Mus musculus: one gene and its partners. The protein of the gene in region 2 interacts with the protein of the main gene of each other region in a pairwise test. Links are inferred from orthologs where the notes say so. Each region holds a gene or a part of one and is shown on either strand. Other genes may lie near its edges.

The links.
Region 1: the proteins of Sptan1 (region 2) and Cep63 interact in a two-hybrid assay, tested with the Homo sapiens proteins (2 studies listed by BioGRID and IntAct). The link is inferred for Mus musculus from reciprocal best matches to the Homo sapiens genes SPTAN1 and CEP63.
Region 3: the proteins of Sptan1 (region 2) and Exoc1 interact in a two-hybrid assay, tested with the Homo sapiens proteins (2 studies listed by BioGRID and IntAct). The link is inferred for Mus musculus from reciprocal best matches to the Homo sapiens genes SPTAN1 and EXOC1.
Region 4: the proteins of Sptan1 (region 2) and Evl interact in binary tests that used the Homo sapiens proteins (3 or more experiments, as listed by UniProt). The link is inferred for Mus musculus from reciprocal best matches to the Homo sapiens genes SPTAN1 and EVL.

The regions. Positions count from the first base shown.
Region 1 is NC_000075.6:102,596,846-102,604,403, reverse strand, and holds part of Cep63 (centrosomal protein of 63 kDa), read left to right. Parts: intron 1-1,328; coding exon 1,329-1,562; intron 1,563-1,845; exon of another isoform or gene 1,846-1,855; coding exon 1,856-1,986; intron 1,987-2,949; coding exon 2,950-3,087; intron 3,088-6,120; coding exon 6,121-6,235; intron 6,236-7,558. UniProt on the Homo sapiens protein: Required for normal spindle assembly.
Region 2 is NC_000068.7:29,961,342-29,969,675, forward strand, and holds the start of Sptan1 (spectrin alpha chain, non-erythrocytic 1), read left to right. Parts: upstream 1-4,218; 5' UTR 4,219-4,444; intron 4,445-7,434; exon of another isoform or gene 7,435-7,452; coding exon of another isoform or gene 7,453-7,485; intron 7,486-8,334. UniProt on the Homo sapiens protein: Fodrin, which seems to be involved in secretion, interacts with calmodulin in a calcium-dependent manner and is thus candidate for the calcium-dependent movement of the cytoskeleton at the membrane.
Region 3 is NC_000071.6:76,526,165-76,534,503, reverse strand, and holds the start of Exoc1 (exocyst complex component 1), read right to left. Parts: upstream 5,194-8,339; 5' UTR 5,042-5,193; intron 1,750-5,041; 5' UTR 1,740-1,749; coding exon 1,616-1,739; intron 1-1,615.
Region 4 is NC_000078.6:108,670,726-108,678,283, forward strand, and holds part of Evl (ena/VASP-like protein), read left to right. Parts: intron 1-2,563; coding exon 2,564-2,627; intron 2,628-3,681; coding exon 3,682-3,740; intron 3,741-4,671; coding exon 4,672-4,901; intron 4,902-5,376; coding exon 5,377-5,498; intron 5,499-7,374; exon of another isoform or gene 7,375-7,558. UniProt on the Homo sapiens protein: Ena/VASP proteins are actin-associated proteins involved in a range of processes dependent on cytoskeleton remodeling and cell polarity such as axon guidance and lamellipodial and filopodial dynamics in migrating cells.

The DNA of each region.
Region 1 (7,558 bases), on a different chromosome or scaffold from region 2:
ATGCAGCTAGAGACACAAGCTCCGGGGTACTGGTTAGTTCATATTGTTGTTCCACCTATAGGGTTGCAGTTCCCTTTAGCTCCTTGGGTACTTTCTCTAGTTCCTCCATTGGGGGCCCTGTGATCCATCCAATAGCTGACTGTGAGCATCCACTTCTGTGTTTGCTAGGCCCCGGCCTAGTCTCACAAAAGACAGCTACATCTGGGTCCTTTCGATAAACTCTTGCTAGTGTCTGCAATGGTGGGCTATCATTTCTAGTTAATGAAGATACTGTGTTTTTGCATGAGTGAAATAGTAGAATAAAAGAGGACCGAGACTGATTCTAAAGTAACAAATGGAGACTACCTGGTTACAGAGTTGCTGACACAGCTAAAGCTCCAGCATTGAATGCAGACCACAGTGTTATACAGTGTCACAGTGCTGAGGTTTTGGGCTATGTGCCTCCTGGCCACTCATTTGGACAGCTTTTCCCAGCTGTGCTCTGTGAGCTCCAGGGCTGGTGGGCAGGTGAGGGATGGGGTGAGCTGAGGCTCAGCAACGGAGCACAGCCATTTTCTCCTCCTACCTTCAACCAATCTCTACATTTACTTATTGTGCAGAGGATTCTGTATAAGATTTCCTCTTGTTTTTGAAAGTCTTCTGCCAATTGCATGCATAGTGGTTAGCGTTGACCCTGTCCTGAATCTTCTTTCACGTGCCATTCTAGGGATCTGGTGGAAAACAAATTGCCTCTACTCTGAGGCCTTGAGCTCTAATTTACACAAAATTATTTGTCTGTATCTTTGCCTCTCCCTTTTTGTTTCCGTTTTTTTTTTTTTTTTTTTTTTTTTCATCTTTGTGTCACCATATTGTAAGGCAAAAGAGTTTGGTCCTCAGTTATGTACAGCAGAATCTTTAAATCTGTAGTAGATGGATTCCACAGAGATATTTCTGCTTGAATTTCTAAAATACAAGTGGGTGCCTTTCCTTTAGGAAATGTTTAAAATAAGGGAAGTTTAACTTTACAAATGATTTATGTCCATTTTTAATGTATAGATAAAAAACCAGTCTGGATACTGAATTAAAACTTGAAAAAAACAGAATGTGAGAAGCCAAAAACACTTCAGCTGGCATGCAGAGCCAAAAGGTTAGACACTGTACTCCACGGGTCCTGAGCCAGTTGCTGAAGTGGCTTTATTTGAATAGACTTCAGTAGGATATGCCACTAAAAGAAAATGTCCAAAACCTGCTGATAGCCCAGCCTTCCTAGGAGTGAATCTTTTCTTTCCTCAGTGAATACAATTATTGATTATTCTTCTATCAACTCTCTTTTCCCTATATGTTTTTAGGCTCAGCTTGCCAACCGGAAACAGAAATTAGAGTCCGTGGAACTATCTAGCCAGTCAGAAATTCAACACCTGAACAGTAAGCTTGAGCGGGCTAAGGACACCATCTGTGCCAATGAGCTGGAAATAGAGCGCCTTAACATAAGGGTCAACGACCTGATGGGAACCAATATGACTATCCTGCAGGACCATCGGCAGAAGGAGGAGAAACTAAGGGAATCTGAGAAGTTACTAGAGGTGTGTGTTAGAATGAGTAACTTAGGGAGGTATATGCATGCCCTAGGACTAGGTCCTGGATGCCCAGCTTCCTTCTTGGGCTGAGGCTGGTGGCTCAGCTCCTGATAGCTGTATTCATACTGTCCTTGTCATAAAACTTGCAGTCAGCCTTCCTGGTTGCTTTTCTCATGAAGTAGAAGCATTGAAATATTATTTGACTTTTTTTCTGGAGTATTTTGCAGTCTCTGCAGGAAAAAGAGAGAGCTAAAGGAAAGTTGTAATAATATCTGTCTTTTTTCTTGAGTGTTTTGCAGGCTCTGCAGGAAGAACAGAAAGAGTTGAAGGCAAGTCTTCAATCTCAAGAAACCTTCATCCTTGAGGCAAAAATGCAGGAGAAACTGCAAACGACATTAAAGGCAGTTGGCACTCAGCAGTCCGTAGAAAGGTCTGTTTGAACCGTAAATGTTAGTCTGCTGGCCTGTTTGACAGTTTGGCATTGAATGCTGATTTTAATATCGAATATTTTCATTTCTGTGTTTGATCATCTTGTCTTATTTGACTTTAATTTATGAGTTAGATTTTTATTGTCTTAAAATTTGTATGGATGGTTTTGTCTCCTTTTCATTTAAGTCTCTAAGATTCTGAGGATCATAAGGTTGGAAACTCCTTATCTCTCTTTGTTAGACTTGGAGGGCCTCTCTGCCTTAGAAGACTAAGGTATGGTGGAAAGTAGTTGCTTGCCATCAGTAACAGCCTGTCACTTAGCTAGCCCTTTGGGAACTGACTTTATTGTTATCATTATTATTGTATTATTATTACTACTACTACTATGTTTTGAAATAGGATTTTATGCATTACCCCAGGCTACCTTCAAAATTACTGTGCAGTTGAGGATGACCTTGAACTCCTCCTGATCCTCCTACCTTTGCCTCCTAAGTGCTGGGATTATCAGTGTTGTGACCCCACCCAGTCTCAGGGCTTCCTGTATGCCCTGGGAATTCTCTACCAACTAAGCTATAAATCTCCCGCCCTGGGCTATTGCTAGGGCAGGGTTATAGTAAAAAATAATAGAGTAAATGAGCTTCCTTTTGTGTAAGTCAGGCATGCTTCTGTTCTTGCCAGACTGTCTTGTAAAGTTTTTCTGATAGAAGGATTCAAGTGTTAACAAAATGGTTTTGCTGTTTTATGCGGCTTTTCCCCTTGAAACACACCCCAAACCCTAGTAAAGATTAAATTGCTGCTGACCCTGGATTGTTCTCCAGGTATTCCCCCTCCTCCCCAAAGCAGGCTACAAACTGACCAGTTCTAAGGAGCTTAGTTAAAAGAATAGTTGGGACAACAGCCTGGCTGGCATTGTTTGTTTGCCAGGATAAGAGAGAGACCTGTTTCCCCCTCCTTCTGTTCTTAGGCCTCTGGAGGACTGTCAGAAGGAAAGGAAGTACAGCTCTCCAGGGCAAGGAGTCTTGGATAATGTGCTCTCCCAGCTGGACTTCAGCCACAGCAGTGAAGAACTCCTGCAGGCAGAGGTGACGCGTCTTGAAGGCAGGTAGATAATTAGCTACACATTGAAAATTTGAAGTTGTTAGGATGAACTTTGATTCTCACATTGATTGAGTAAAACAGTGCATTGGTGAAATGAAGTTGTTTTTTCTCTAGCATTCACAAATGGCCTCACTCCCTAGTTCATTGAAAATACAGAAGACACTGTCCTAACCTTCTGCCAGTTGGCCTTCATCTGAGCCTGTGCTCTGTGGACGTGTCTGAGGCTGACTTGCTCCTGCTGTGACGTCCTCTTTAGGGCTTTCTTCAGAATGGTTTATATGGACAGAAAGTATTCTGGGAGCTTTTTCCATTTTGAAAACAATTAAACCCCTTTAAACCATCAGAATATTTCCTCTTTCTCTGTTCTTCAGAGTCAAAATCTTTTTTTAAAAAAATTATTTATTTATCTTTTTTTATATGAATACACTGTAGCTGTCTTCAGACACACACCAGAAGTGTGTGCATTGAATCGGATCCCATTAGAGGTGGTTGTGAGCCACCATGTGGTTGCTGGGAATCGTACTGCTGACCTTTGGAAGAGCAGACCGTGCTCTTAACCACTGAGCCATCTCACCAGCCCTAGAATCAAATTTTTGAAGACTTGTGTATTCTGATAATTCCCACTTCACCCTTTGCCTTTTAGGCCCCATTCAGTTCAGCTTTCTTCTGTATTCCCTCACTGAAACTGTTCTTGGAGAAGATACAGTGGGCATGTCTTTCTTCCTTCATTCTTGTTTATGGTGTGATTTAGATTTTCTTGGCTTTGAATTGAATGCTAGCTAATGGCAAATCTATAGTATTTGGTAGCATAGTATATTCTAGCATAGCATGCATAGCATGGCATAGTGTGATAGGTAGTGCTTTTTGTTTTATTTTATTTTTTGCCATAGTTACAAACTTTATTTTGCTTGTCACATTTGTAAACTTTTTTATTGGGAAGAGTTTGATATTTTGTTTTAAACTCATTATAATTGCTTGTATACTAATTTTTTTGGTGTGGGTAAAAGATAAAATATTTACATAAGCTCTTTGCCTTTAGGCAAACATAACAAGAAGAAGTGCCACTTTACACTTTCTAGCTTGTCTTGATACATTGCTCCTCAGTGTGCTGTGTTTCGTGCAGCCCTCTGCTGTAGGCCTTTTAGAGTGTGTGGGGCACTTGTGATCTCTACTGAGGTGTGTGTGTATATGTGCTTTATTTAGACTGAGCCAAACAAAACTTACTATTATTACTACTATTACTAGTATTGATATCATTTGTTTTTTTGAGACAGTTTTTTTTCTGTGTAGCCTTAGCTGTCCTAGAACTGCTTTATGTAGACCATGGTGGTCTCGAACTTAGAGATTGGCCTGCCTTTGCCTCCCAAATGCTGGGATTAAAGGTGTACTCCACCCACCATGAGTGCTAAATAAAGATTATTAGTCTTTTGATATTGGAACAAAAAAATTTGTTTTTAATCATAGTTGTCATCTCCCCCTCCCCCGACCTCCAGTTGGTTTTCTGATAATCTTCATGGACTTCTTGTCAGGCTCAGAAGTTGCGCCTCTGGTTTGACTCCAGCACAGCACTGCACAGCACTGCACTGACCACCTTAGCCCCTCAGGTCCTGCTTTTCCCATGCATGGCTAGGACAATGTGATCTCTGATCTTACTCCTCTGCTAGTCTCAGTGTTTAGCACATTGTAACCATATACTAGTAGTAAATAGATAAATAAAAATTCTAGAATTTCTGGAAATAAAATTAGAATGAATAAATAACAGTATTCAGTAAGAATGGCTTCAGTTTTTTTCTTTGAAAAATCTAGTGGACAAAAAGACTGTTCTAAACAGTGTGGTGTTTAGTTTGAACAGCACCTAAACCAGGAAGGGCAGGGCTTTTGTTATACTACAAAGATGATATCTCTATTTTATTTTATTTTTGTTTCATGTGCATTGGTGTTTTGCCTCCATGTATATCTGTGTGAGGGTATCAGAAACCCTGGAACTGGAATTATAGACAGTTATGAGCTGCCATGTGGGTGCTGGGAATTGAAGCTGGGTCCTCTGGAGGAGAAACCAGTGCTCTTCACTGCTGAGCCATCTCTTCAGCTCCCAAAGATGATATTTTTGAATAATAACTTATCTGGCAAATTTGCTATGTTTGTGAAATAATATAGTACTAAGCATTTGTAGAATAATTTAGAGGTGTATGCTGTAGCACGTGAGGGCTAATGGCTAAGTTTGGCAGGCATAAGAAGTAAAATATTTTAACCATAGAGTTTTCAGTTTCAGAGATAAAATACTCATTTTAAAGGACTTGGGGAATTAAATGAGCATATTTAAAGTAGATAATTTCTAGAAAAATTTGCCTTCAAGTTGTAAAAATTGAATTATTTAAGGTGAACAGGGGAGTAAGGACTGGAGTGACTGTAATTAGGCCAGTGCCAGTTTGGTTCCTGAGAAGCTAATGGCCATCATGGGCTAGGGGAGGAGGTGCTTTGTGGTGAAGGGACGATTGCATTGCTACAAAGAGGCAGAGCACTGGAGTGAGAGGCATGCTGCCTCCGTGGCGCTAAGTCTCAGAAAGATTGGTCTTGAGTAAGAACAATGAGTTGGGGACTCTTCAAAGAGTTCTTGCGGTTCTGTATAGTGTGGTTCTGTATAGTGTGGAGTGTGTCTGTGTGTTGCTAAGGGTGATGAAGTGTGAGTCTGTTGTGACAGTTCTTGGTGGCTTTCCCTCTCTCATAGAGCTAGAGAAACCCATACAGCTAGAGCAAAACTGTTAGTAAAGTGGCTGGTGTCTTTATAATTCTGTAGCCAGTAAAGTTTAAATCAGGGGGCGGGAGTGGAGGAAAACACGAAAGACAAAACTACCTCAGTGTTGAGATGGGTTTGCTGCATCTAGTGATAGGGGAATTGCAAATGACTTCTCGTGACGGGTATGAGGTTTAAGGTGTTAGTAGGAGGTATCTTGGGCATCAAGAGGGTACACTTAGATAATCCATCTTATGGGTTTCAGGAATTTTACTTATATATGGTTGTATTTCTGCCATACAGTTTAGAATCTGTGAGTGCAACATGCAAACAGCTGAGCCAAGAACTAATGGAAAAATACGAAGAGCTGAAGAGGATGGAAGGGCATAACAATGAGTACCGGACAGAGATAAAGAAGGTGAGAGCCTCCGTCAGAGCCTGGGCTCAGAGCTGGGCAGGAGGTGCTCAGTGAGGGAAATGTGTTGGGTGGTCAGTGGAAGAGTTTGCTGGAACTCAGTGGGAGGAGGAGGGATATGAGAGGATGATAGGGATGGATGATCAAAGGATACTGTGCATGTGGGGAACTTGTGAAATATGCTCATGATGATTTCTAAACAATTATATTGCTTATTAAAAAAGACATTATATTACCTGTAATTTCCTTATTGGCTTCCTTTGTGCTATGAAGTAGTTAATGTCCTCATTGGCTGTTGGTACTCTAGAGCCTTTTTTTAAGGGGTCCTGTCCCCAGTGTGCTGGTGTACTCTAATCCTAGCTTTGGGAGGTGTAGACAGGAGATCAGAGCCAGCCTGGGTTAGATGAGACTGTCTCAAAATACCAAAAATAAATTAATTTTTTTAGAGGCTTTATTTAGAGGATTAGTCTTGTTTTATAGCCCAGGTTGGCCTTAAACTCATAATCCTCTGGTCTTTTGAATTCTAAATATTGAGATTAGAGACATCTGTTACCATACTTGGCTTAATTTGTGTTTTTCACTACTTTGAGATTATTGCTAGTTCCTGTGCATGTGTGTGTATGGTGCACACATGTATGTGTATGTAGAGCCCAGAAGTAGATATTAAGTAGCTGCTTATTGCTCTCTCCCCACACACTCACCTGCCTCAGCAGCTCTAACTGAACTCAGTATTCATTGGCTGACTAGCTTAGCTGGCCATTGAACTGCAGAATCAACCTTTATCTGCTGTCCCTCTCCCCATGCTGGGATTATAGATGTATGCAACCTTCCAGGATGAATTTTATGTGGGGGCTAGGAATCTAGACTAAGTCCTTCTGCTCCTGCTGCAGGTATGTTATAGACTGAGCTGTCTTCCTCAAAGGCTCTTGCCCCTTTCTACCTCTTATCTTTCTGTTAGTTCTCTCCTGAGAAACAGAAAACTAGATAAAGAAACAAACAAAAACCCCAAACAAACAAACAAATTTTAATTTTTAGCTGTGAAAAGAATGAAAGTCTTAGAGACTACATAAATTAGACATAGACTTTGCCATTGACCCCAGTGTTTGAGTAACACATGTTTTTCTGAGACCTAATGCATGATTTTGAATTTAAATACCAGACTTTCACAGTAGTTATAGAAGTTGATAACTTGTAGTTGATGATTTTCTGTATATCTAATCTAGGAAAAATTTCATGTCTTAAGGTAAGATAGACATTACCTTATTTTATCAATTTTGTGTATATTTTTCTTTGTTAAATTCTGTACATTTTAAACATTTACTTGTC
Region 2 (8,334 bases):
AGCTCCATTGTCTTTGCAGCTCAAGTTCTTGCTTGTCTGCCCACTTTCACTGACTGCATCTTACCCTCATTCCTTGGGCTGAGTGCCCAAATTTTTGTCATGTCATGCATTGTCTGATATCACTTTAGTACCCATTTGATGTTGTGCTGGAAATTCCAGCACAGAATTCCAGTAGGTTGCAACTTTTGTAGATCCTGTCAGCCTTGGGCGTGCGCGCGCTCGCACGCACACACGCACACACACACACACACACACACTTACAAATATATGGGATGATTGAATTGGCCTAATGAAGTTTAGATATCCCTCAGTGCTAGGAACACAGAGCTGTTCACAAGTCTATTGCACATGACTAATTTTCCCTTTTCTCTGCTACACTTAATGAATTTACTGGTTGTCCTGTGGATCTACAGAAAGCAGACAAGAGCTGGGCGTGGTGGCACACGCCTTTAATCCCAGCACTCAGGAGGCAGGGACAGGTGGATTTCTGAGTTCGAGGCCAGCCTGGTCTACAAAGTAAGTTCCAGGACAGCCAAGGCTATACAGAGAAACCCCGTCTTGAAAAATCAACAAGAAACAAAACAAGAGTCCTTGTTCTTGCAGGGGACCCAGGTTTAGTTTCCAGCACCCTTGAGTTTCACAACTGTAATTCCAGTTTCAGAAGATCCAATGCAGGGTTGGAGAGATGCCTCAGAGGTTAGGAGCACTGACTGCTCTTCCAGAGGTCCTGAGTTCAATTCCCAGCAACCACATGGTAGCTCACAACCATCTGTAATGGGATCTATTCTGGTGTCTCTGAGGAGAGCAACAGTGTACTCATATAAATAAAACAAATCTTTAGAAAAGGAAAGAAAGATCCAGTGCTCTTTTCTGGCCTCTAAGGACACTAGGCATGAACATAGTGTAAGAAAATCACTCATACACATAAAACTTTTTTTTTTCTTTTAAATCGAGAGGTTGGAAAAGCAAGCATATACTTTGGACTGCTCTGAGGCAGATGGTTGGCCTTGATCTATAATGCTGGAAATGGAACCTGGGCTTCTATAAGAAGTACATGAGCTCCTACAAGAGCTGCTGGCCACGTCCCAGCTAGTCCTGTGCTTTCGAAGCAGGTAAACTGGTCCATGGAGAAAAGCAGTAAGAAACAGTGCCAAGCGATGGTAAACTCTACAAGCCTTTCTAGGCTCTGGAATGACTATGTCATCGTTAGGCCAGGCTCTAGATAATGAAAAGCTTAGCAGGAAAATCTGGGTATGGTGGTACCACCTCCTGCAATCATAACACTGAAGCAGCTGAAGCAGGAGGATTGCCATGAACTCCAGGATAGACTAGGCCACAGCTGGCACCTTATCTTAAACAAAAAAATTACATGCCGTTAATCCCAGTACTCCAGGATGGCTCTGGGTTAAGAAGGGTACATGCCACCAAGCCTGATGACCTGCGTTTGAACCCCAGAATCCACAAGGAGAACCAACTTGTGCATGTTGCCCTCTGACCTTCATATAACACACATGAATAAATGTAGTAAATGTTTTAGGAAATAGTCTACATGGTAGAATGTGTTCAGAAGTGCCCAACCCAGACTGCCGGAACTTTCTCCTCCAAAATGGAAACTGGTCCTTTCCCCCTTTCCCCCATCCAGTACTGTTATCTCTGAGACCCAGCAGTTGCAGATTGTAAGGTATGCAGAATCATTTAATATTGGTCCTTCTGTCTGGCTCGTTTCACTTAGCATAATGCCCTCAGGTTTTACATAGTCACTATGTTTGGAAGAGTTGTGTGACTGGCTTGCCAGCTCTGCTCCTGCAGCTCTGGGGAAAGTAATTTTCTGGGCATGATCCTTCCCAATCAGCTTTACAGGGAGGAAAAAATAATACAAGCACTTGACTTTGTAGAGAGAGTGCAGGATAGCGGTAGAGAAGTGGACAGGTAACAATTAGCATATTTCCCCAACCAACAACTGACCTTTAGAACAGGGGACCAGGGCTAGCTAGAGTTTTAAGTCTAGGGGCTGCAGTAATCAAGAGAAGCTTAGAATTCTCTTGGATTCTCTGCTTGTAAGGAGGCCAGTAGAGGTGTGGCCAAGAACGTGGAGCGGAACCGCGCTGTCACACTGGGCTGTGCTTGCTTTATTTTGTCCCTGTGAAGTTCTCATTAAAAACAAGGTTATTATCTGCAATATCCCTTCCCCATGCCCACACATAATAGTGTGAGGCATGCGCTGAAATTGGTGGGAGGGAGGGGAGCAACAATAGAAACCATGAGCAATGGCTTTTTGATGGCTCATTTCTCCTGCCAGATGAGAACAGGGTGGGTGCCTGTGGGTGCCGTTATCCTGACCATTCTTCCGATCAGAAAATGGACCAACCAGCAGGATTTTAGTTTCCCAGTCAGAAGAGAGCTCCCTTTAGGTCTTGGATTTGTTTGGCATTTGGGAGAAACAGTAGAACCCCTATTTTCAGTATGGAGCCCAGCCCAGAGAGCCCTTGCCACCGAAGTATCAGGTCTTAGACATTGTGGAGAGTTAAGTTATACTAGCCATTTTGTACCCAGTGCTGAACATCTGAGTTTTAAATTTGCTGCAGCTGACTGAAGAGGTGGTTACTATGGTCACCATCAGCTGTTTTCAGAAATGCACAGCATTTCTGCATGCCTTTCATCCCACCACTCAGGAGAAAGAGGCAGGGGGATCTCTGTGTTTGAGGCCTGCCTGGTCTACAGAGCAAGTTTCACGACAGCCAAAACTACAAAGGGAAATCCTGTCTGGAAAAACAAAAAAGAAAAGGAAAAAAAGCCCAGTCCAGGAAGTAGCTCCTCAACCAGTTTTCTCTGTAAAGAAGATGGCATTAAATGCTGTCCTCCAAGCACCTGCCTTTTGGATCTCAGGAGTCTGTGAAGCTGCCGCTGAGCTGTGGCCACTCCCTTTTTATTTTATTTTTTTTATTTTTTAAATCTCTCCTCTCCAAGGAAAATGACTAGGAATGTTCTTTCACCATCATGCCTACAGTCAGAGTAGCTTAGAAGTCACCTTGCAGATCCTAGGCTCAGCAGAAACCAAAGTGCAGAGGACCAGGAAGCTTGGGACTGGGCCTCATCCCAGTTCTGGAGCAATGCCCAGTTCTTTATAATTATTTAAATAGGAGGGTGGCTTGGTAACCAGGAGGCTGATGCCTGGCAGAGCTGCCTGACTACACAGGAATGAGCTGGGTGCTACTCCAATGGTTGCCACACAGCTGTCACCCAAAATGGAGGAAGGGAAAGAGCTTTTGCAGTAGGGGAGCCTGGCTACAGAGTTTAGTTCAGAGCCAGGCCCTGAAAAGGGTTGTGTATAAGAAAAAAATTACAGAAATTGTGTTTTCCTTTTCTCAGAAGTCTAGCACCCACTTGCTTAACGCTTGTGTTCAAATCTTAGGTTCTCTGATTGCTGCTTCGTGCTTGACCTGGGGAGAGAGCTACCTTCTATGTCATCAGGATGCTAATTTGTAAAATGGGAAAGGCAACATCTACCTTGTAAAATAAGAGCAGAGATTAAAAGCCCAAAGCACGTGCGGTGTCAGCTAAACAGCAAAGTTCAATTAATACTGGGGAAAGAAATAGTAATGTCGTTTATCAACTGGGACGAATACACTCTGTCTACTGGCAACAGGAAGATTGCTGAAGAATTCTCCATATCCTGAAATAAAGTCTTACGCCACAAATCAGTCTTTTTTTTTTTTTTTTTTTTCCCTAACCGGGATTTTTTTCCCTACCACCTCCTCAAACACGGATCCTTATATCATCTTTTTTTTTTTTTTTTGGCCCCATCCCCCACCAGAACAGGCAGACTTGGGTCTTCCAGAGCCAAGCCTCCCCCAGAAAAAGTGCAAAGAGGGAGCCAACATTCCAGTGAGATCATCCGAAAGGGACAGGGCGTCTTTCCGGCCAGGGCAGCAACATCCCCAGCCTGACTGCGGCGGCGGGCCCCGCCCTGCCCTTCGCCGCAGTCTCGGAAGGGCTCCCAGGGCGGAGGGGTGCGGCACAGATTCTCTGCAGGGCGGACTGGGCGGGGCAGGATTGCTCGGGTCCCACGCCGCGGCGGGCGGCTGCGGCGGCTGCTCCGCTCTGTGCCGCGCCCCGCACCCCTCGCAAGCGCGTTCCCGTCCTTTACCCCAACCCCCACCACCCCGCCCCGCAGCTTCGGCTCCTTCCGGACGCGCTCGGTCCTCTCCGTACTGCAGTGGAGCAGCGAGTCCCGCCTCTCGCGTCGCCAACCGGGGCACTTCCCTCACGCTCGCGCTCGGCCGCCGCGGGGGCGCGCGCGGCCGCTTATAAAAGCCACAGTGCGCGCGCGCCGCCGTCACTATCCGCTGCGGAGCGAACGGCGTGAGGCAGGGGCCGCGGCGGCGCATCTTTTTCCTCAGCAGCCCTCAGCGCGGCGACCCACGCCCCTCACCCCCAGGAGCCGGTAAGAAAGGGCGGTGGGCGGGAAGGGAAAGGCCGCGGGAGGCCGAGCACCGGAGCGATGTGGACAGATGAGCTGCGGAGCCTCGCGGGCGGCTCCGTGGGCCCCCGCCGCCGCCTTTTGTGGCGCGTGGGCTGCGGGGCGCGGCAGAGCCGGGCGGCGACCTGGAGTGTCACGGTCCGCCGAAGGTACGCGAAGGCCCCTTCCTGCGCCCGCGGCCCCACCCGTCGCGGCAGGTGGCGGGGGGTGGTCCTCGGCAGCACCCACCCGCGAGCGCCCCCGCACCGCCCGTCGCCCGCAACTGCGGCGCTCGCACCTCTCGGAGCCTCCTGTCTGCAGTGAAGGGCTCGCTGACCTTAATTTCATCCTGTGTGGCGGTCCCGGGCCCTCCGGCCGCAGAAAGGCCTCCTTTTTCTTTCCTGGTAATAAATGTCTTTTCTCTCCAGTGCCGACCTGCTCCAGTATAATAGTTAGATGCGGTGCCGCTTGGTTGGAGGAGATCCAAATCCAATAAATAACTTAATAGCTTACAGCTCTTTTCTTTCTATATAAGACATTAAGTCGAAGGCTTCTGGGTTTTTTGTTTTTTGGGGGTTTTTTTTTGGTCAAATTCTACTGCTGTGCCAGTGTGAAGTGATAGAACAGTCTTTTGTCTGAAGCTATCCCTGCAAATTTGATGAAATGCTTCTCCAGGAAAAATTTGATTTTAAAATCCTCTCAGGTACTAGAATTACACACACACATATGCACACACGCGCGCGCACACACACAAACACACACACACACACACACATCAAGAGGGCTTCTATGTAAGTAAGGGTCGGTGTGTTTTAAATGAATGTCCCAGAAAGGGTGAAATCATTTCGAACTGCTACACTTCATAGGGCTTTGTTGACTTTCATCTCTCTGTTTCTGTCTCTGTCCCTCTCTCTACAGGCTCTTACAGTGTAACTCCAGCTGGCCTGGAATTTGCTGAATAGCTCAGGCCGGCCTCAAACTCAGGATTTTCCTGCCTCAGCCTCTCAGATAATCAGGTTTTTCTATATAGAGACCCAAAACATTTTAAGTCGTTTGTTCTTTACCCTTGGTATTTTCAAAAAGCTAATTATTATGACTGTCAAGGAATACAAGAGAAACCAACCATATGAAGTATTTTAATAATGTGTTCAGAAATTGCGTTGTCATAGCAATTGGACTTAAGTAAAACAGAATGTATCAAAGATGGCAGGGTGGGGGTGTCTTGTAGCCAGGAAACAAGAGCTTAAGAATAGCACTAGCAACAGTGAGTTGCATGAAGCCATTGAGCCAAGGTTCCCACTCATACTAAATGTCTTAGATTTTAAAGGTCAAATTGAAGTCAAAGTTGGAAAAAAAAAATGTGCTGCAGTAGATCCCCTGCAGGAAATTAACAATAAGCCTTTTTTAGTAACTGGGTCATTAATTCCTCAAAGGGACCCTCAAAGTGTGTTGACTGTTATCCAGGGACCTAGATAAAAAGGATGGATTTCAAAGTTTGCCCTATACCAGACAAATGTGAAACAGTTCTTATGATAAACCCAAGGCCTGGAGACATATAGATATGCAATTCTATTCCCTACTTTTGAGACAAGATCTTGACCCGTAGCTCATCCTGAATCTATGTAGTTGGGTATAGCTGGTCTTGAACTCATTGCTCCTGCCAACAAGCCTGGCTGCCACCACCCTGGACTTTTACCCCTCTTAAAAGAAAGGAGGCCTTGTTATATGTCTCAGATCCTGGACTCAAGCTTATTTCTCCACCCTTAGCTTCCAAAGTAGCTGGACCTATGGCAGGCAGGAGCTGCTGCAGCCGGCTTATTCTCTGGTAGTGCCTTTAGCCTTGGCTGTATGCTTTGTAGTAATCTAATACTTGGAGAAATCTGATGTCAAGTAATCTAATGAACAGGTTTAAGCAGGGAGAGTCATATTAAGTGTATCTTTTAGTTCCCTGGATTATAATTTTCTATTATTTTTTTCTTCTCTGCTTTCATCTCAAAGGTGGGGCCTCTACAGATACTGAGAAATGGCTCTTAGGAATAGCTACCCGAGTCTGGTCTGTGGAATGTGCACTAAGGACAGAGGCTCTGAGGGCAGCCTGCCTTTGTTACCAGTGCCCACTGCCTATTGGAGAACTCCAGTCTATGCCTCTTGGTCTGCTGCAGCTCGTCAGCTGTGGCCTTACAGGGGAATGCCATGATCTGATGGCTAATGCTTATTCCAGGAATGCAGAGGTCCGCAGAGCTGGCCAGAGAGCCATCTGGCTGGAACAGCCGTGCAGCGAGTGGCACCTTTCACATCTCTTACACATGCTGCTTACACTTGTTTTGAGTAGGAAATAATTGTATTTTGTAAAGGTACTGCACCAGCAAACTAGCCCCAAGGTCAATCTTTGTTGTTTGAATTCCTTACTACACTTAGGCTTTCATGAAATTATCTTTTTACTTAATTACTTTGACAATGCAAATGCCTAAAGCCCCCAAGATCCCTATTTCATCAGAATGTAGATGAGAAGAGGCATATTTATTTTTAAAAGAACATTCAGTATTAAAAATTAATTCTTGGAGCCAGGCGTAATGGCGCACACCTTTAATCCCAGCACTCAGGAGGCAGAGGCAGGGGTATTTCTGATTTCGAGGTCAGCCTGGTCTACAGAGTGAGTTCCAGGACAGCCAGGGCTACACAGAGAAACCCTGTCTCGGAAAAAAAAAAAATTAATTCTTGGGCAAACTGGGGTCTGAGAGAGAGCATGAATTGGCCAAGGCAGCACATTTAGGTGATGGTGATTGTCCATTCCCAGAAGCCTGGGCTCCCTGATTACAGCTCAGATTTCTGGTGGGATTCTGATGCTGGGGCAGTGCCGTTTGATTTTTACCTGTTTTCATGTGTTTTCACAGATTTGTTCTCTTCACTTTAAAGTGATTCTATCCCAGTTGCCCTTAGAAGTGTGTTGTCTTGCTCTTCCCCTTCCTCTTTAGAGTCCACATTCCTTCAACATGTTGTCATCGTTTCGTAAGCGCAGAGCTCAGGTATTTGACCAGCATGCAGAAAATGTGTTGCCTTTTGGGTTTTTGCCTGGCTTGCAGTGAAGACACATTGGTGTCCAAGAGGTTGAATGATCCCCAGAAGGGGAAGCCCTGCCTACACGACCTTTCTGTTAAGTAGAAAGGTTGGTGACAGTCTGGTTGGGATTGCTGGCCACATGATCAGAAGTGTTGTATGTTTACTGTTTTCTACCTTTCTGTTTCTCCTTAAGGCATGAGTATATTGGTCTCTTATTGCCATCCTGGTGTTTGCATGTGATGTTTGCTGATTTGTAATTGATGGCTGCTTGGTTCCTAAGAACCAAGGGAGTAAGTTACTTTAGATATTCAGAAAAATTACCCGAAAACATATAGTGTGAATGGTGTTTTCCAGTTGGACAAGTGCTGTCACCTGGGTTTATCTCCTTTCCCATTGACTTAGCTCTACCATAATCCCTGAGAATGAAATGGAACTCAGTATCTTTCTTTAAAACCAAAACTCTGGTAGGGTGTGGTGCTGCACACCTCTGATCTTGAGAGGCAGAGACCAGCATCTCTGAAGGAGCCTGGTCTGAGTTCCAGGACAGCCAGGGATACACAAAAAACCCTGTCTTGAAAAACAGAACACACATACCCCCACACACAAAACAACATTCTTGTATGTTTTATGTGTAGTGTTTCAATGTTTGCTAACATTGAGCCTTTTTCAAAAAAAAAAAAAAGAAAGAAAGAAAGGAAGAAAGAAAGAAAGAAAACAACTGCTTAAAATTGTCCTGATACTTTTAAAGTGGGATGTAGAAATTTAAGGTTTTTCTAATGATTATAGCTCATAAATCCAAGGCAGGCCCCTTTTAT
Region 3 (8,339 bases), on a different chromosome or scaffold from region 2:
CAAAATTTTAAACCAGTATACTGGCAAACAGGGCATTTATAAAACGTACCATTTTGTTTCATCAAGTTACATTATAACTGGTAACAACACACAGACCAAAGGAAGAAACTTTTAAAGAAAACAGCAAGGCTTATAAAAGCAGAAAATAAACATGTTTATGGGCATAATCATCATTAATAAAAATGCAAGTTCCCTACAACTTAAAAGATAGCTTAAAAACAATCCCAATCAAAACACAACAGAATCTGGAACTTAAGAAGTTGATTCTAAAATTAAGATGAAAGAGTAAAGAACAAAGTAAAACAAAATGAGATTTAAGAAAAAAAATCGTGAAATACAAACATGTGCTCATTCATTCACACACAGACAGACAGACAGATACAAATACACAACACTCTCTAAGACACAAGTGAATCAAAACCTTTACAAAATAATGCAGTAAAAACCATAAAGCATCAAAGTAATTTTATTTAATGATAATTAAATTTCATTAAGAGTAACCACAAAAAGTGTAAAGATAAGCCACAAAACAGAAAGTATACAACCACATAATAGAAATATCTATGCAGCTAATAGATCTATCTTATAATACCTACCCAGATAATCATAATTAAGAACAACTATACAAATCTGGGTAATGACCATCAATCCAATAGGAAACCATACATTACTCAAGTAAACGGCCAGTCACTTCACAGAGGACACTCAACCCCATCATTAATCAGGAAAGTGCATTTCAAAACCACAGGCAGATACTATGTCACGCTGCCATCCTGACAACTAGTCTGTCAGAAGCAACTGTTGATTAGGGTGTAGAGAACACAAGGTAACCAACCACACTGCTGTGGGAATGAAAAGCATCCCTTTTAAAAATAACTGCATATTAGAGCAGAATCCACATCCAAGAATCTGCCTTAAAATAATTTTGGTGTGTAAGCACAAGACAAGCACAAACACATTCACAGACGAGTTGTTTAAACAGCAAAGCTCAGGCACAAACCTACTGCTCACCCTGGTGGGGTGGGTATGGGGACCATGGGACACTCACAGCGGAGCTTGCCATGGCAGTGACTATGATGGTGTTAGAGCCTTGTGTAAGAACAGATTCAACTCATGGCCAGCTGTGCTAGCAGACTGCGTAGGCGGGTGGAGCAATATAAACTCCAGGCCAGCTGGAAATACAGAGTGAAATCATGTCTCAAAAACAAAACAATAAAAACTCCAGAATAAAACGAAATTCTCATGAATCTACTGCTGAATGGGAAGGGTCACAAGGAATTTTAATTCAATTTATTAAACGTTTAAAGACAAGTAAATGGAAATTACACATGGGGAATGTGGTAAGATGCAGGATCCCAGACACTGACCACTGGAGAGCAGAAAGGAATGGGGTAAAGAAGAGCTGTTGTCACCCTACACTGCGCACCCGGAGTCCTCCTTTTCCCTTGTCAGCCACCTTAGACATACACTATAAAAATTCTCTTACAGCATCCAGCAATCAATATTAACAATTAAAATTAACTTATCAGCCCAATAACTCTCCCAGTTATAGAAACAATGAGAGTATGACCTAAGGAAGGTATCAAGTACATATTTTTGCTTAATAACCACCTACCTGTGGCACACAGAAAACAGTTCTTCTTCTTCTTGCCAGCTTTGCAGACATTCACGATGCTCAGCAGGCGTTCATCATTTGGTGTGAAGATATCTCTCTGCAGCGCATGCTTGATTGCTGTCATCTTTTCTCAGCTGAAAAACATTTAGAATAATTCTCAAAACCACTGCCCTCCCTCATAAAGTGTTCCATTTATGACTTGAACGATACATTCTTAATACATAAATATATTAATCATCTACAACATAAAAGCATGGGGCTTCAAGTTTGGAAATAAAATCAGAGAAACCAGTATATATATATATACACACACACACACACACACACACACAAGATACTACCCATATATACAAATATGCAAGCACACACACACAAGTACAAATAACCAATAAATATACTAAAAATTATTCATTACAGAGCTGAGGAAACAGCTCTGTTGGTAAAGTGTTTCCTAGTACGTGGAGGACACAAGTCCAATCTTGTTTAATTTCTAGAGCTCACATAGCAAGCAGTGGGGAAGCAGAGACAGGCAGATCCCTGGAGTTCACTGACCAGACAGCTTCACCCATTGGTGGAATGCCAATCTGGTGAGACACCATGTCCAAGAAAAGGGGTATGAATGGTACACTGAAGAACACCATGTGCAGTTGCCCTTGGGTTTTTGCAAAGATGCATACCAGAAACCCCAAATATTCCATACCATTATCCACCTGGGAAATGCGACTGAAATCCACAGTGAGATAGCTACTGCTTTCAACTGTTGGGAGAGCTAAAATCCCAATGGACACACAGCAGCACTGATGAAGGAAACTCCCACACAGCTGGGAGGATCACAAATGGTTCGGAGGCTTTAGAAAACAGTCCGGCACTTTCTTCTACAAGTCAAGCATGCAACTACCATTATGAGCCAGCCCCCATCATACACTAACTTTAAAAATGCCCTTCAGCTAGATCTTTTTGGAGGCATCTTCTCAACTGAGGTTCCCTTTCAGATGACTCTAGCTTGTGCCACAATGACCTAAAACTAGCCAGCACGCCTGTATTACTCAGGGGTTCTCTTCCTGCACAAACATCAGACAAAGAAGCAAGTTGGGGAGGAAAGGGTTTATTCAGCTTATACTTCCAAATTGCTGTTGATCACGAAAGGAAGTCAGGACTGGAACTCAAGCAAGTCCGGAAGCAGGAGCTGATGCAGAGGCCATGGAGGGATGTTACTTACTGGCTTGCTTAGCTTACCTTCTTATAGAACCCAAGACTACCAGCCCAGGGATGGCACCACCCACAATGGGCCCTCCCATCCTTGATCACTAATTGAGAAAATGCCTTACAGCTGGATCTCACGGAGGCATTTCCCCAACTGAAGCTCCTTTCTCTGTGATAACTCCAGCCTGTGTCAAGATGACACCCAAACCCAGCCAGTACAATGCCCCTTAATATGTCCTAGGGCCCGGATGTGACATTAAAGCTCTACTCCATCTTACGCTATGGAAACTGTCTCTGGGCTTTGTTCACTGTTTCCCTTTTTCTCAAATTCTTGTCACTGCAAATTCCAACTTGCCCTCAAGGATTCTGATAACACACTGCCTCTTCTTTGAAGCCTTCTCTCCTAGAAAAACTCCTCTTCTGTCCCCATCTTACCTCTGCTGACTACAGCTCTTCCAACCTGTGTTTTATAGCTAGCGCCGTCTAGCCTCTACTACTCCGAAAAGTAGTTCTCTGTTGGCAAGAACCTTATCTTATCCATCTTTATATTCCTAGCATTTGCCGAGAGGCACACAGTGCACACTCAGTAAACATTTTAGGGAATACTGTCCCACTCAATAACAGACCAGGGATCGCTCCCTCAGAGTTACCTCTTTCCAACTTTCGCATCTGTAAGAGAATACCCAGATTCAAACTCTACTGTAATTGATTGCTTCCTCCATGCCAACGTGAAATCTGTGAGCATATCCTGTAACTTCTTCATCTACATATCCTATCCCTCTCCCCCACAACTTGCTGCCAACACAGCCACCAAGACTTACTGCCTTTAAGTAATAGCACCCGTTATCTCTTTCTTTTTTCTTTAGGCTTCTACAAGTTCCCTGAAAAACTAGTAAATAACTTTAAAGCAGTTCTCATTCTACCACACACCTGGTCAACAGCAACCCAGCTTTCTCAAGACATGCCTTGCACTCAGAACACTCTGTTCTTTCTTTGCTTAAGCACTTTCCCATGCAGGGCATACCACTATCTTTTCCTTATTCAAACCTACATTTCTCCATTTGTATTTAGTTGACTCAATGAAAGTCTCAATCCACACGGCTCTTTTCATGTAAATGTATAGAGCCCTTACTGTATTTACGAGGCAAATGCTTGCTATCTAATGGGGACATGAGTGTCATCTCCTAGATCTCCACAGCCATCTCTTGAGTAGTAGGAGGAGGAGGGGTGCTCTATCACAGGTTTGTGTGTTGGGTACTCACTAACAAGCTCTTGGCGTAACCTGCTTGATTGCAATAGTAAAAGCTGGCCAAAAGAACCATTAGCAATGGCCAATATTCACCATAGTACATGGTAAACGGTAAAAACAGCAGAGGGCTGGTCATAACTCATGAAGGAATTAGACATAAGCATTGCTACTATATTGCTATATTATATTGCTAATATAAATATTGCTATTCACTAAGTGCCAGGCAGCACTCTGGGGTATAATGGAGAATCTTTAAGACATGAACGGGTTGACGTAGCATTGTGATAGTCAGTCTTCTTTGGATCTAGAGATGAATTCTCCAGTGTTTATACTGAACTTTACATTATGCCAGTATTATTAATAGTGGCCTTCACAACTATTTCCCAGGTCTAAAAACCACGCCCATATTCTGGGTTCTCTTTAGATCTTCGCCTTCTAAAACCTCAAGGCTGCCCGTTACAGAGGCAGCTAACCTCGGTTCATTGTGTACATACATACTTCCTTCAGCTTAATAGGGCCATCGTTACACTGTGTGTCCATGCTAGTGCCTTAGTGGGTTGGGCCCATGTACTGCAGTGACATCTCAACTCGGAGACATGTCATCCAGAAAAAAAAACTGTTCAGAGGCTGGGCAATGCACTTAGAAGATTTATAAGGACATGTTATATTGATTCGGACCAGCAGAAGCCCAGGTCACGTCTTTCTCTTCCAGGCCACGCTAGTAGGACAAAAATGAAATCTGTCCCGGATGGGCGGAACTGTGGACAGAGACTTGGCTGCCTCCCGGCTCCGCCTTTTCCCAGAGCCCCGGACAGCACCGGCTAAGGAAGGACGCAGCCCGGGTTCTGCAGCCCCGAAGTGGAGCAGGGTGGGTGGGCCGGGTCACTGGGGAGTGGCCGACCCGGCGCGGATGCAACACTGCCTCCACTTAGGCTACCACCTCCAAGACCGCAGGTCCCCGGCCGGAAGCTTACCGCGAGGCCAGCCGGCCGGCCGAGGTTGGTGCTCCAAGACGGACTCAGGAAGGGCGCCGGCAGCAATAGCAGCTTTGAAGCACTTTTCATTGAACAGGGAAAAGCAGCGGCCAGAACCCGCCACTTCCCGTATCCGGTCACGTGTCTCTCTGCACCGGAAGTTGACCCTGTGGAGCCGGAAATGGAGACAGTAGAGGAAAAACAGATTGGCCAATGGACTTGGAGGAGGCGGAACAGCGCTTTGATGGATGGGGCAGAGGCGGACTGTGGGCGTGGAAAAGACAGGGGCGGGGCTTGCAAGCACATAGGCCAGTGATTCTCAACCTGCGGGTCAAACGACCCCTTCCTTCATAGTGGTCATATAGCAGATATCCAATATATCAGATATTTGCATTACAATTGATAACAGTAGCAAAATTACAGTTTTAAAGTAGAAATTAAATAATTTAATAGTTGGGACCCACTGCAACATGAGGAAAGGTATTAAAAGGTTGCAGCATTAGGAATGTTGAGAACTGTTAGCATAGGCTGATTTGAGGAGTTGATAATGGTGATGTTTCCTTTTTGTAGACGTACCCATTCTAATATTTGTAGCAACTCATTTGAGAGCGCATTAAATGTTCTCTCCTGTGCATATGTAAAACCCTGCTAACTAGATTCTTGGAAGAACTTTAGTGAGTTAAGTCAGATTCTCTGGGATAGATGTCACTAGTACCCTTAAGTTCTGGACACTTAATTCCCATAAACAGCTTTGGTCATTTACCCACTTCATACTCTACCCTGACTGCACAGACCTTCTTCTTGGGTGTTTTTTTAGAAACTTCACCCATGCCACCTCACATCAGATACTGAAATAGAATCTTTGTTTTAAAGGTGATGCTTGCTTGTTTCAGTGTGAGAAACATAAATGATGCCGAGAGTTCGAGCTATAAGACAAGTGATTCATTTAGGCCGCATCCCTGGCAGGGATTGAGTGCTGCAAATTTTGATTTCCAGGTTAAAAAATAAAAATTAAAAAAAGCCATTCAATTTTTTTATACTGAAGGAGTTCGCAATGAGGTAGGACTAGAAAAGGTGATTGCGAAGTTAGGATAACATACTCTACCAGGATGGTTTTCTTTCTTCTTTTTTTCTTTGCTGTTTTTTTTCCATTTATTTATTTACTTTGCATGTGGATCTTAGCCTACCCCTCCTTCCAATTCTCACCCTCCTTCCCAGCCTCTCCCTCATTCTCTGCTTCCCTTCTCTTCTGAGAAGGGGTGGGGTGGAGACCTTCTTGGATACCAACCCACCCTGTGACATCAAGTCACTGCAGGACTAGGCACATAGGATGAATTTTTTGTTGTTGTTGTTGTTTTGTTTTTCGAGACAGGGTTTCTCTGTGTAGCCCTGGCTGTCCTGGAGCTCACTTTGTAGACCAAGCTGGCCTCGAACTCAGAAATCCACCTGCCTCTTCCTCCCAAGTGCTGGGATTAAAGGTGTGCACCACCACCGCTCGGCATGAATTTCTTAAGAATATGACAGATGAGCTGTGCACAGTATTTGCACCGTTTATCTTAAGATAAAATTTTGGGAGACCTAGGAGAAATAATGAATAGGGACATGTTTGTTGCTACAATGATCAGCTTCTAGTCGGGGTTACTTGAGATGACTCTCACAGGATCTAGTTCTATATATTTGGATAGACTTCCCTGGTGTTTCCTCCTGAGCTCCAGAATGTTTGCCTTGGACATCTTAGCTGACAATTCCATTTGGGTGTTTTTGTTGTCATTTGGTCTTCCATTTTGTTCTTCCCCCCAACCCCCTGTACCTATGTTACAGCTCTCCTCACAGTTGAGAAGTGAGTGGTATTCCAGAAGGCTAGACTCTTCTGAACTCCTGAACTCCAGATTTTTGTATCCACTTCTCTGCCTCTGATATTTCTGTTTGGATAACTGAACAGCAATAATAATAATGATTATATAATATTTATATTAAATTATATTATATCTATACTCATCTGCTCATGCCCTCAGTTGGGTTTTAAATCTCTACACACATCACTTCAAAATGATGCCCAGACATGATGGCGATGGGCTAAACCTCTCAACCTGTAAGCAAGTTCCAGCTAAATGTCTTCCTTTATGAGAGTTGCTGTGGTCACGGTGTCTCTTCCCAGCAATGGGACACTGAGTGATCCAGGAGTGTCCGTGGATTCTGTAGTTCTGCCTTCAGCCTGAGGGTGCTGAGAAAGGATTTGTAGATTGGAGTAATGATGATTGGTGATGCTATAGTGTTGATGATTGTGGATATTGGCTGAATTAATGAGAGATAAAAACATCTTACTTCAGGCCACTTCTTCCTTTATATAAAATTGAATAATAAAGTGTGTTGATACAAGCTCTGCTGAAAGGAAAGATTCCCTGGGTATACTGAGTATTCCTAAGAGCTATCCCCAAGTGAGAGTGACATGCACTAGGAATTCAATGTTACTGACCAGTTAGTGTGATGTGTCAACCTATCTATGAGGCAGATCAAATCCTTCATTATGTATTTGGTAGACATAAAGAACTCCTATGTGGCTAGGGAAGTGAGTTGCAGAAGAGATACCAAAATGATGTCTTGAAAGTAAATGATGGGGGGGGAGTCTGAACTATCCATTCTTGAAATTATGTGTGTTTCCTGAACCTGGTCGACTTTTCTATTCCATTTTCATACTTCAACAGGTTGTTTCTAAAACTGCACCGGGGAACTGGTGGAACTAATAATATATCCACCTCATGAGAGATGACCCTTGTTTTCCCAGTAGAGAATTGTTCCCTGCTTCAGAAAGCATGTCTTGCAGAGCAGTGAGGACCTGTGTGACAACTCTTACTGTGGTTTTCTGGAGATTTCACAAGGTGCTTCTAGCCATCATAGATCCCAAGCCTTCAGATCTGTTGGGGCAAAAGGTTGGGTAGTAGGGCAACTTGTATGAGATCCCTTCTGGGCAACATACTTTGCATTAAGTTCATTCTGTCATTATTCTGGGAAAGAATCCAGTCACTCTTCTTTATTCTTGACAGAGTGAGTTCATTCTGACCCTCCCGCTTTACCATCCTTCTGACTCTCAGAACCCATTCAGCACTGTTCTGGCATCTTAGCCACATCTAGGAAGCACAATGGCTGTGTGTTAAAATTTACTCCTCCCGTCCTTGCCAAAACATTGAATGGCAAGTCGGCTGATGTCATCTGCTTCCTCTGGCCAGCCTTACACCTGTATTTATTTTTCTGACTTCATACTTTCATACATTCCACTTGTTCATATTGGCACATATTA
Region 4 (7,558 bases), on a different chromosome or scaffold from region 2:
CAGGGCATCCAGAGCTGTTGAACAGAGAATCCCTGTCTTGAAAAACCAACCAACCAAACTAACTAAAATAAAATAAATATCCTTAAATACTGAGTTGTAGAAGGTATTGGGGGGCGGGATCAGGGACCCTCCTTCTCTTCACCCCTATCCTGCAGGGTCACAGCTCAGCCCAGGAGGCAAGAGGTGACACCGTGAGTCCACCATCTTGGCCTGTGGTTACAGCCATAAGGGAAGTTATCTGCAGTAGCTCAGCACAGGATGGATGACCATAGCTTTCTTGTTGACATCTACTCCCACTTGAGAAATGCTGCCTAGCTGGAGAGGCCCCTGTTAAGTGAGCTCTTCTCCAGGGCTTCTCAGGAGACCAGCAACCATTATAGAAGAAGAAACCTCCTCCCAGCCCTTCTGTCAGAATCTGCCATGGCACATGTGGTTGGAAAATGGATTAGGAAAGATGGCCTCACATGTACAAGAGCATCTTTTCCTGCTCAGGATAGAGCACCAGGCTTGGAAGGGACTGTGGCTCCTGATGGCCTTCCCCAGCTTTCTGTAGTAGCAGGTTAGCTGAGGGTGTAGGGAGTCTAGGTCAGCATGAAGACTGAGAAGACCAAGTAAATGACAGCAGCACACTGTGAGCATATCTGCTCTCAGAGCGTCTTAACAGGAAAAGAAACAACCATAGTAACCAAGCCAGGCCAGAAGCTGAGCAGACCTTGCATCATCAGCCAGTGTGGACCAGGCATTCCGGGTCTTAGTCATAAGGTGGGACAAAGCCTCAGACAAGGAGCAACACAAGGTTGCCAGAATAGGAACTTGGCCTCCAGAAGGAGGAAAGCAGTCTAGACCCAGGGTGAGTTCAGTTGTTCAAGCTTGAACCTAAAGCCTATGTAGTAGTGACCTGTGTGCTGCTGTAAGACAGCACCATAAGCAAAAGCAGCTCACTCACTTTGGCTCCCATAGAGCTTGTCATGGTGGGAAGGGGTGGAGGCAGGAGCAGAGCACCCCCATAACACACTTCCTGCAGCAAGGTCACGCCTCCTAAACCTCCCCCAACACCACCTCTAACTGGTGACCAGGTGTTCACGTAGCCAGAGCTGTGGAGGACATTTCTCATTTAAACCTCCACAGCCTTGGCCAGGCTAAGAGCAGAGTCCCAGAATGTTGGGCTGAGGCATTGTGAAACCTGCCTTCACCAGAATGAGCAAGGCAGAGGTCAAGCAACTCCTTTCTGCTATGCAGACACAAGTCTGCACCTGAATGCTCCGTCCAGGGATGGGGCAGCTTGGGGCACTATAGGTGGCACGTGAGTCCACCATCTCACTCTTCAAGCCAGTCTGACTGACACCATGCTGAAACTGGACTTGAGAATGAGACAGGTGCTGTGGCAGGGGCTTTGTCTTGCTCTGCTTCTTGCACCTTTGAGCAAGTTACCTAACTTCCTGGGCCTGGCTTCCTTGGTGGTCCCAAGTCCTTCCTCATGGGCACTCTCCTAGCTGTGTGAGAATTACAGTTGAAATCTAGGTTGAGTAAAAGTTGTCTGGGAATTGCTCTGATCAGGCTCCCATAGGAAATAACATTTTTTTTTTTTTTTTTTTTTTTTTTTGGTTTTTCGAGACAGGGTTTCTCTGTATAGCCCTGGCTGTCCTGGAACTCACTCTGTAGACCAGGCTGGCCTCGAACTCAGAAATCCGCCTGCCTCTGCCTCCCAAGTGCTGGGATTAAAGGCGTGCGCCACCACGCCCGGCTAGGAAATAACATTTTCTGTACAGAAGAAGAGGAAGACCACTAAGACCCTGGGCTTCTGGGAAGTGAGTGGCTAAAGAGACTACCTGCTGTCTGAGGTGTAGATTCACGCTCACTTCACCCAAAAGTGGAAACAAAGCTGTTTGCACAAGCCACTGGTTACACTTACAAAGGGACGATGCGCACTGGCCCTCGGGAATGATCAGCTCTTTCTTGGGTTGGAGCTGCAGCCTGGATTTCTCTTTAAATATGGGTCCCAGCACTAGCCCTCCTGAGAACAGGAGGTTCAGCAGTGGGACTCTATCCTTTCAGGTCCAAAGTGGGTATGGCCTAGGAGCTTTCATGGTGGCCCAGAACAAAGGGAGCCGTGCAGGGTTGCACTGCCTCTTCCCACAGCCCCAGACTCCCAGTGTGAGTAACAGGTCCAAGGAGGGTCCACCCCACACACGTGTAGTTCCTAGGTTCCATCTGGCCTTGATCGTCACCAGCTGAAGGTATTAGTCCTTCACTCATGATTCTTAACATACCAGGGTTGGGGTTGAGGAGACAGTGGCAAGTGGGCAGACACAGCAGGTGCTGTTTAAACAAAAGCAGAGTGGTGTGAGCAGAACTTAGTTTCCACTGTGCTTCAGAGGGAGAGCCACAGGAAACAGAGAGAGATAAAGGTGTGCAGGTGCTTCACGGGTGTGAGAGCCCACTGTTAGAGGCAGGCAGGATCTCTCCTCTGGGCTCTGGAGGGTGGAGAGGGTGCCATTACAGTTCTGTGTTGGGGCCCTTCTTCCCTCCTCTGACCTTTCCACTCTGCATCTCTTCCCTACAGGCCCCTCCACACAGCGTCAGGTGCAGAATGGCCCCTCTCCTGAGGAGATGGACATCCAGAGAAGGTAACCCCACGTCCCACAGATGTCTGACTGAAAGCTCCCCAGTAGAGCTGAGGCCACTAACAACAGGGGCAACAGAGGATGCCTGCACATGCCACTGCAGACTAAGGGGACAGGTCCATCGCCCACAGACTCATACTTCCCTAAACTCCTTCTGAAGCTTGCCTAGTAACCCTGTGGTTCCAGGGAGCCCTCTAAAGGACTAAAATGAGGCATAGCTTCCATTTCTCCTGCCACCACAGTGGCTCCAAACAGCCAGACAAGCCCATTGGCCCACTCACGCCACTGAGTGAATTCAGTTGGCCAGAGGGTCACACAGGTTTCTCTGAGGTATTTACTACTCAGTGTGTCCAGCTCATCAGTCCTCTTCCATCTGTCTCTGTCTCTGTTGGAGGCAGCCCAGGGCTACAGGAAGGTTAGCTCAGCCAGTGACGTGCTTGCAGGGCGCTGAGTAGAGCTCCAGCACTCTTTTGTTTTGTTTTGTTTTGTTTTCCTTAAAAAGTTAGATGTGGCATCAGCCACTTGAATACCAGAGTTTAGGAGGCAAAGGCAAACAGACAAACCCTGGTGTTCATTGGCCAGCCAGCCTTGCCTACTTGCTAAGTTCTAGATCAATTAGAGACCCTTTCTGAAAAGAAAAGGAAAGGAAAGGAAAGGAAAGGAAAGGAAAGGAAAGGAAAGGAAAGGAAAGGAAAGGAAAGGAAAGGAAAGAAAGCCGGGCATGGTGGCGCACGCCTTTAATCCCAGTACTTAGGAGGCAGAGGCAGGCGGATTTCTGAGTTCGAGGCCAGCCTGGTCTACAGAGTGAGTTCCAGGACAGCCAGGGCTACACAGAGAAACCCTGTCTCGAAAAACCAAAAAAAAAAAAAAAAAAAAAAAAAAAGAAAAGAAAAGAGAAGAAAGTGGGTGGTGCCTATGACAGCACTCAGGGTAATCCTTTTTCCTCCACACAAACAAAGCCCAGTGTTATGGGTATGAGAAGTACCACAGCAGCAGCTTTTAAATGTGGGAGCGTGGGCACAGAGAGCTCAAGGTGTCTGCTGTGATTGCTTTCCAGACAAGTAATGGAGCAGCAGCACCGCCAGGAGTCTCTGGAGAGGAGAATCTCGGCCACAGGTAGGGGAGACTCCCTCCTCCAGCCCTGTCCGAGGCCCTGACCCCCCAGTGCATCCTCATGGCAAACCACCTTACCTGCTTTTCCAACACCCTGTCCTCTCAGCTGCTGCAGCACCTCCCTCCCCTCCGCTGCCCAGGCCTCTGAACATGGCTTGAGCAAGTCTAGTTCTACCAGCATGTCTCCCTCCCATACGTCCCATCCTCTTGGCTCAGCACTACTTCCTTCACTGTCCTGACATCACCTCTCCTGTGTGTTCCCAGCTCTGTAGGGCAGTCATCCAAGAGCTTCAGCTCCGACAGGCTTCCTGTGCATACTTCTAGTAGAGCGAGCCTTGCAGCACAAGTCTGTGTTCTCCTCTGTGATTTGTTGGCTGACCTTACTAGACCAAAAGCACCCTGAGGGTCTACTCCCCTCAGTGTATGGCACAGTGTCTGATTCACTGGAGGTGCCTGACTAGGTGCATAGTGGAGGCCAGCCCTCGGTGGTTCCTTGACCCAAATTCCTGGTCATCTCTGGACCCACAGTTCCTTACCTCTTAGAGACCCTAGGATCCAAGTACAAGTCCCACTTACATCTTGAGACCAACTTCAGTCAGTACCTAAGATGCAGCCAAGTACTTATAATGGAAACCGGCACTGCCAGGAACTCCTCACACACACTGGAGAGGCAGGAGCAGAGCAAGAGGAGCTCTGCTGTGCTCAAGGGTGTTAAGTGACTATATGCCAGTGTAGCCAGCACCCAATGCTGGGAGATTGGAATAGGAAGGGATTGTAATGGGGCTGGGTTCTGTAGGGCCTTCCTGAGACAAACTCTTCTGCACCTCATCTCTGATGAGCAAGCTGCCCTCCAATCTTTTGAAGGACCCAGAATAAAAACAGTAGCTGGACACCCCTAGGTGTTGGAGACTGACTCCTCCCCTTTGCTTTTCAGGGCCCATTCTCCCCCCTGGGCATCCCTCATCGGCAGCCAGCACCACTCTCTCCTGTAGTGGACCTCCACCCCCGCCTCCACCCCCAGTTCCACCTCCACCCACAGGGTCTACTCCCCCACCCCCACCCCCACTGCCAGCTGGAGGAGCCCAGGGGACCAACCATGATGAGAGCTCTGCATCAGGACTGGCTGCTGCTCTGGCGGGAGCCAAGCTAAGGAGGGTGCAGCGGGTAAGAGTTCCTGTCAGGGTAGGCAGGCCAGCCACCCTTTACGTATCACTCTCATCTCTCACCCTGTCCTCACCTGTTCATCAGTGAGACACTGAGCAAAACTCTCTTCCCCTGGATCAGCTCCCAGCTGCCTTAGTTAATAAGTACTGAATCTGCCCTTGCTTTTCCCGTGGAATGTGCTTCCAGTTGATTCAGCTCCCCACCCCGGGTGCACATGCTCCTGGAAAGATCTGCAGATAATATAAGTCTGCTCATAAAAGAATGCTCTGATGCATATCTCTGGCTTGAAAGTTGCTTCCCTCCTCCCTGTAACTAACTGGCTTTGGCAAGGACTCATGCCTGTGGGCCTACCAAGCCTGTCCCTGAGCCTCCCTAGATTCTGGTTTTCCGTGGACTTGAGAGTGTTAAACTAGCAGCCTCACTCCTAGGATCTTTCTGGGTCAGCATCTGACACACACTTCTTCCTTACCCTCAGCCAGAAGATGCATCTGGAGGCTCCAGTCCTAGTGGGACTTCAAAGTCCGATGCCAACCGGGCAAGCAGTGGGGGAGGTGGAGGAGGCCTCATGGAAGAAATGAACAAGCTGCTGGCTAAGAGGTGAGTACAGTGCCTCCTAGAGGAAGCCACTGTCCTCAGCTGAATGTCATTGCTAAGACACATTTAGGGGGCCTAGAACAGCACCCGCTGCACTTGAGAGACAAGCAAGGGGCTGGAGAGATGGCTCAGCAGTTAAGAGCACTGACTGCTCTTCCAGAAGTCCAAGTTCAATTCCCAGCAACCACATGGTGGCTCACGACCATCTGTAATGAGATCTGATGCCCTCTAATAATGTGTCTAAAGACAGCGACAGTGTACTCACATACATGAAATAAATAAATTACAAAAAAAAAAAAATTAAAAAAAAAGAAGAAAAAGAAACTGAGAGACAAACAAATACAACACAGTCCCAGAGTTTTAGAGCACTGCCTACAGACACCCCACTGCCCCCAACACTGCTTCTGTAGGCAGCGTTAGCCTTCCCAGACCTCCTAAACAGTCTAGGCAGACATGAAGCAGCCTTCACAGAACAGTATGTTAAGGCCTGCAAGAGGAAGAGACGGGTCTCACAGAAGAGGCTCTACCTGTCCTCTGCTTAAAGAAGTGCAGTTCCATGGGCTGAGGGTGGCAGAGGTGCCAGCCGGGCAGTGTTCAAGCACAGGCTGAGAAGCCGGCACATGGAAGAGTGGAGGAGGCCAGCTGGAGAGGAGGCTGAAAGAGTGCCTCACTGCCCAGCTGGATCTCAGAGCTGAATAGGGCTTCAGATAACAGGAGAAAACATTTTAGAAAAGAAAATGTTTGTACCCTCCTTCAATCTAAGACCAGTGAGCTTAACAACTTGGCTTGGATGATGTATCCCAAAACACAGGATCTCTAAAAACAGGAAAAGGTTAGAGTTGCCAGGAGCCAAGCAGACGCCAGGTGCTGGGGGGGTCGGAGGTGGGGTCCAGGCACTAAAAAAGCAAATGTGCCTTGCACAGTCTGCAAGGAACAACCAAGCAAGTCTTTGAAATCTGCTTCATGAGATTAGCAGTCCTGCAGCTTTTTCTCCTGCTTCTCTTCTAGCAGGGCTCCACCTACAGTGGAGAAGTCACAGGTGAGCACCTCCTGAGGGCTGCTGTGCTGGCACAGGCACATACGTGCCTCTCAGGAGGCACTCACCAGTGTAGACTGCAGTGGCTTGGTCTGTATTGTCTGTGTGATGGAACACATGCCCGATCACATGTTAGGCAAATGACTACCTCTGAGTAGTCCGCACAGGCGTCCCTCTGATTTTAAGAGATGGAATGTGGCTTCTGGGCATCAGTGGGCATCATGGGGTAAAGCGACTAGGCAGACCAGTGAAGAAACCTTTGTCACCCAGGAAGAGGTGATGACAGCTGCCGTGGAATAGGCAAAGGTTAAGCTAGGCCAGAGTGGGAAGAAATAGAGAGAGAGAATTGATGAACTTACTGGTCCTAGTCTGTGGGAGGAATAATTTGTCAGAGGCCAGTTTCCACAGGTCAGGGGAAACTGAGGCAGGTGTAGAATCAGTGATTGATCATTCAGCAGACTTTTCTCTGAGGGCGGAAACTTGATTTACTGGAGCCAGTGAGAAACTCTTTGGAGCTGGCAAAAAAAGGAGGAGAAGATTCACACACACACATACACAGACACACATATACACACATACACACACACATAAACACACACTCACACAGACACACATATACACACATACACACACACATAAACACATACAGACACACATACACAGAAATACAAACACATAAACACACACACATACACAGAGATACAAACACACAGACACCACACACATACATATACACACACACACACATATATATATGTATATGTATACATATATATATAACAACTATTTTTTCTTCCACAATTTATATATCCTAACAAAATCTTTCAAATGGTACAAAATGAATCACAATGTGATTACCTTCTATTTTTCATTAAGTGATCCATTACAGTGAGTATTCATAGAAAAACATATTTACCAATACTCTCACATGAATAAACTTTTCTTAGAACAGGTTAAACAGTACAGGTTTAAAACAACAACAACAGATTATTCCCAAGAACCCACATGCATTCATAACTAAGCAACT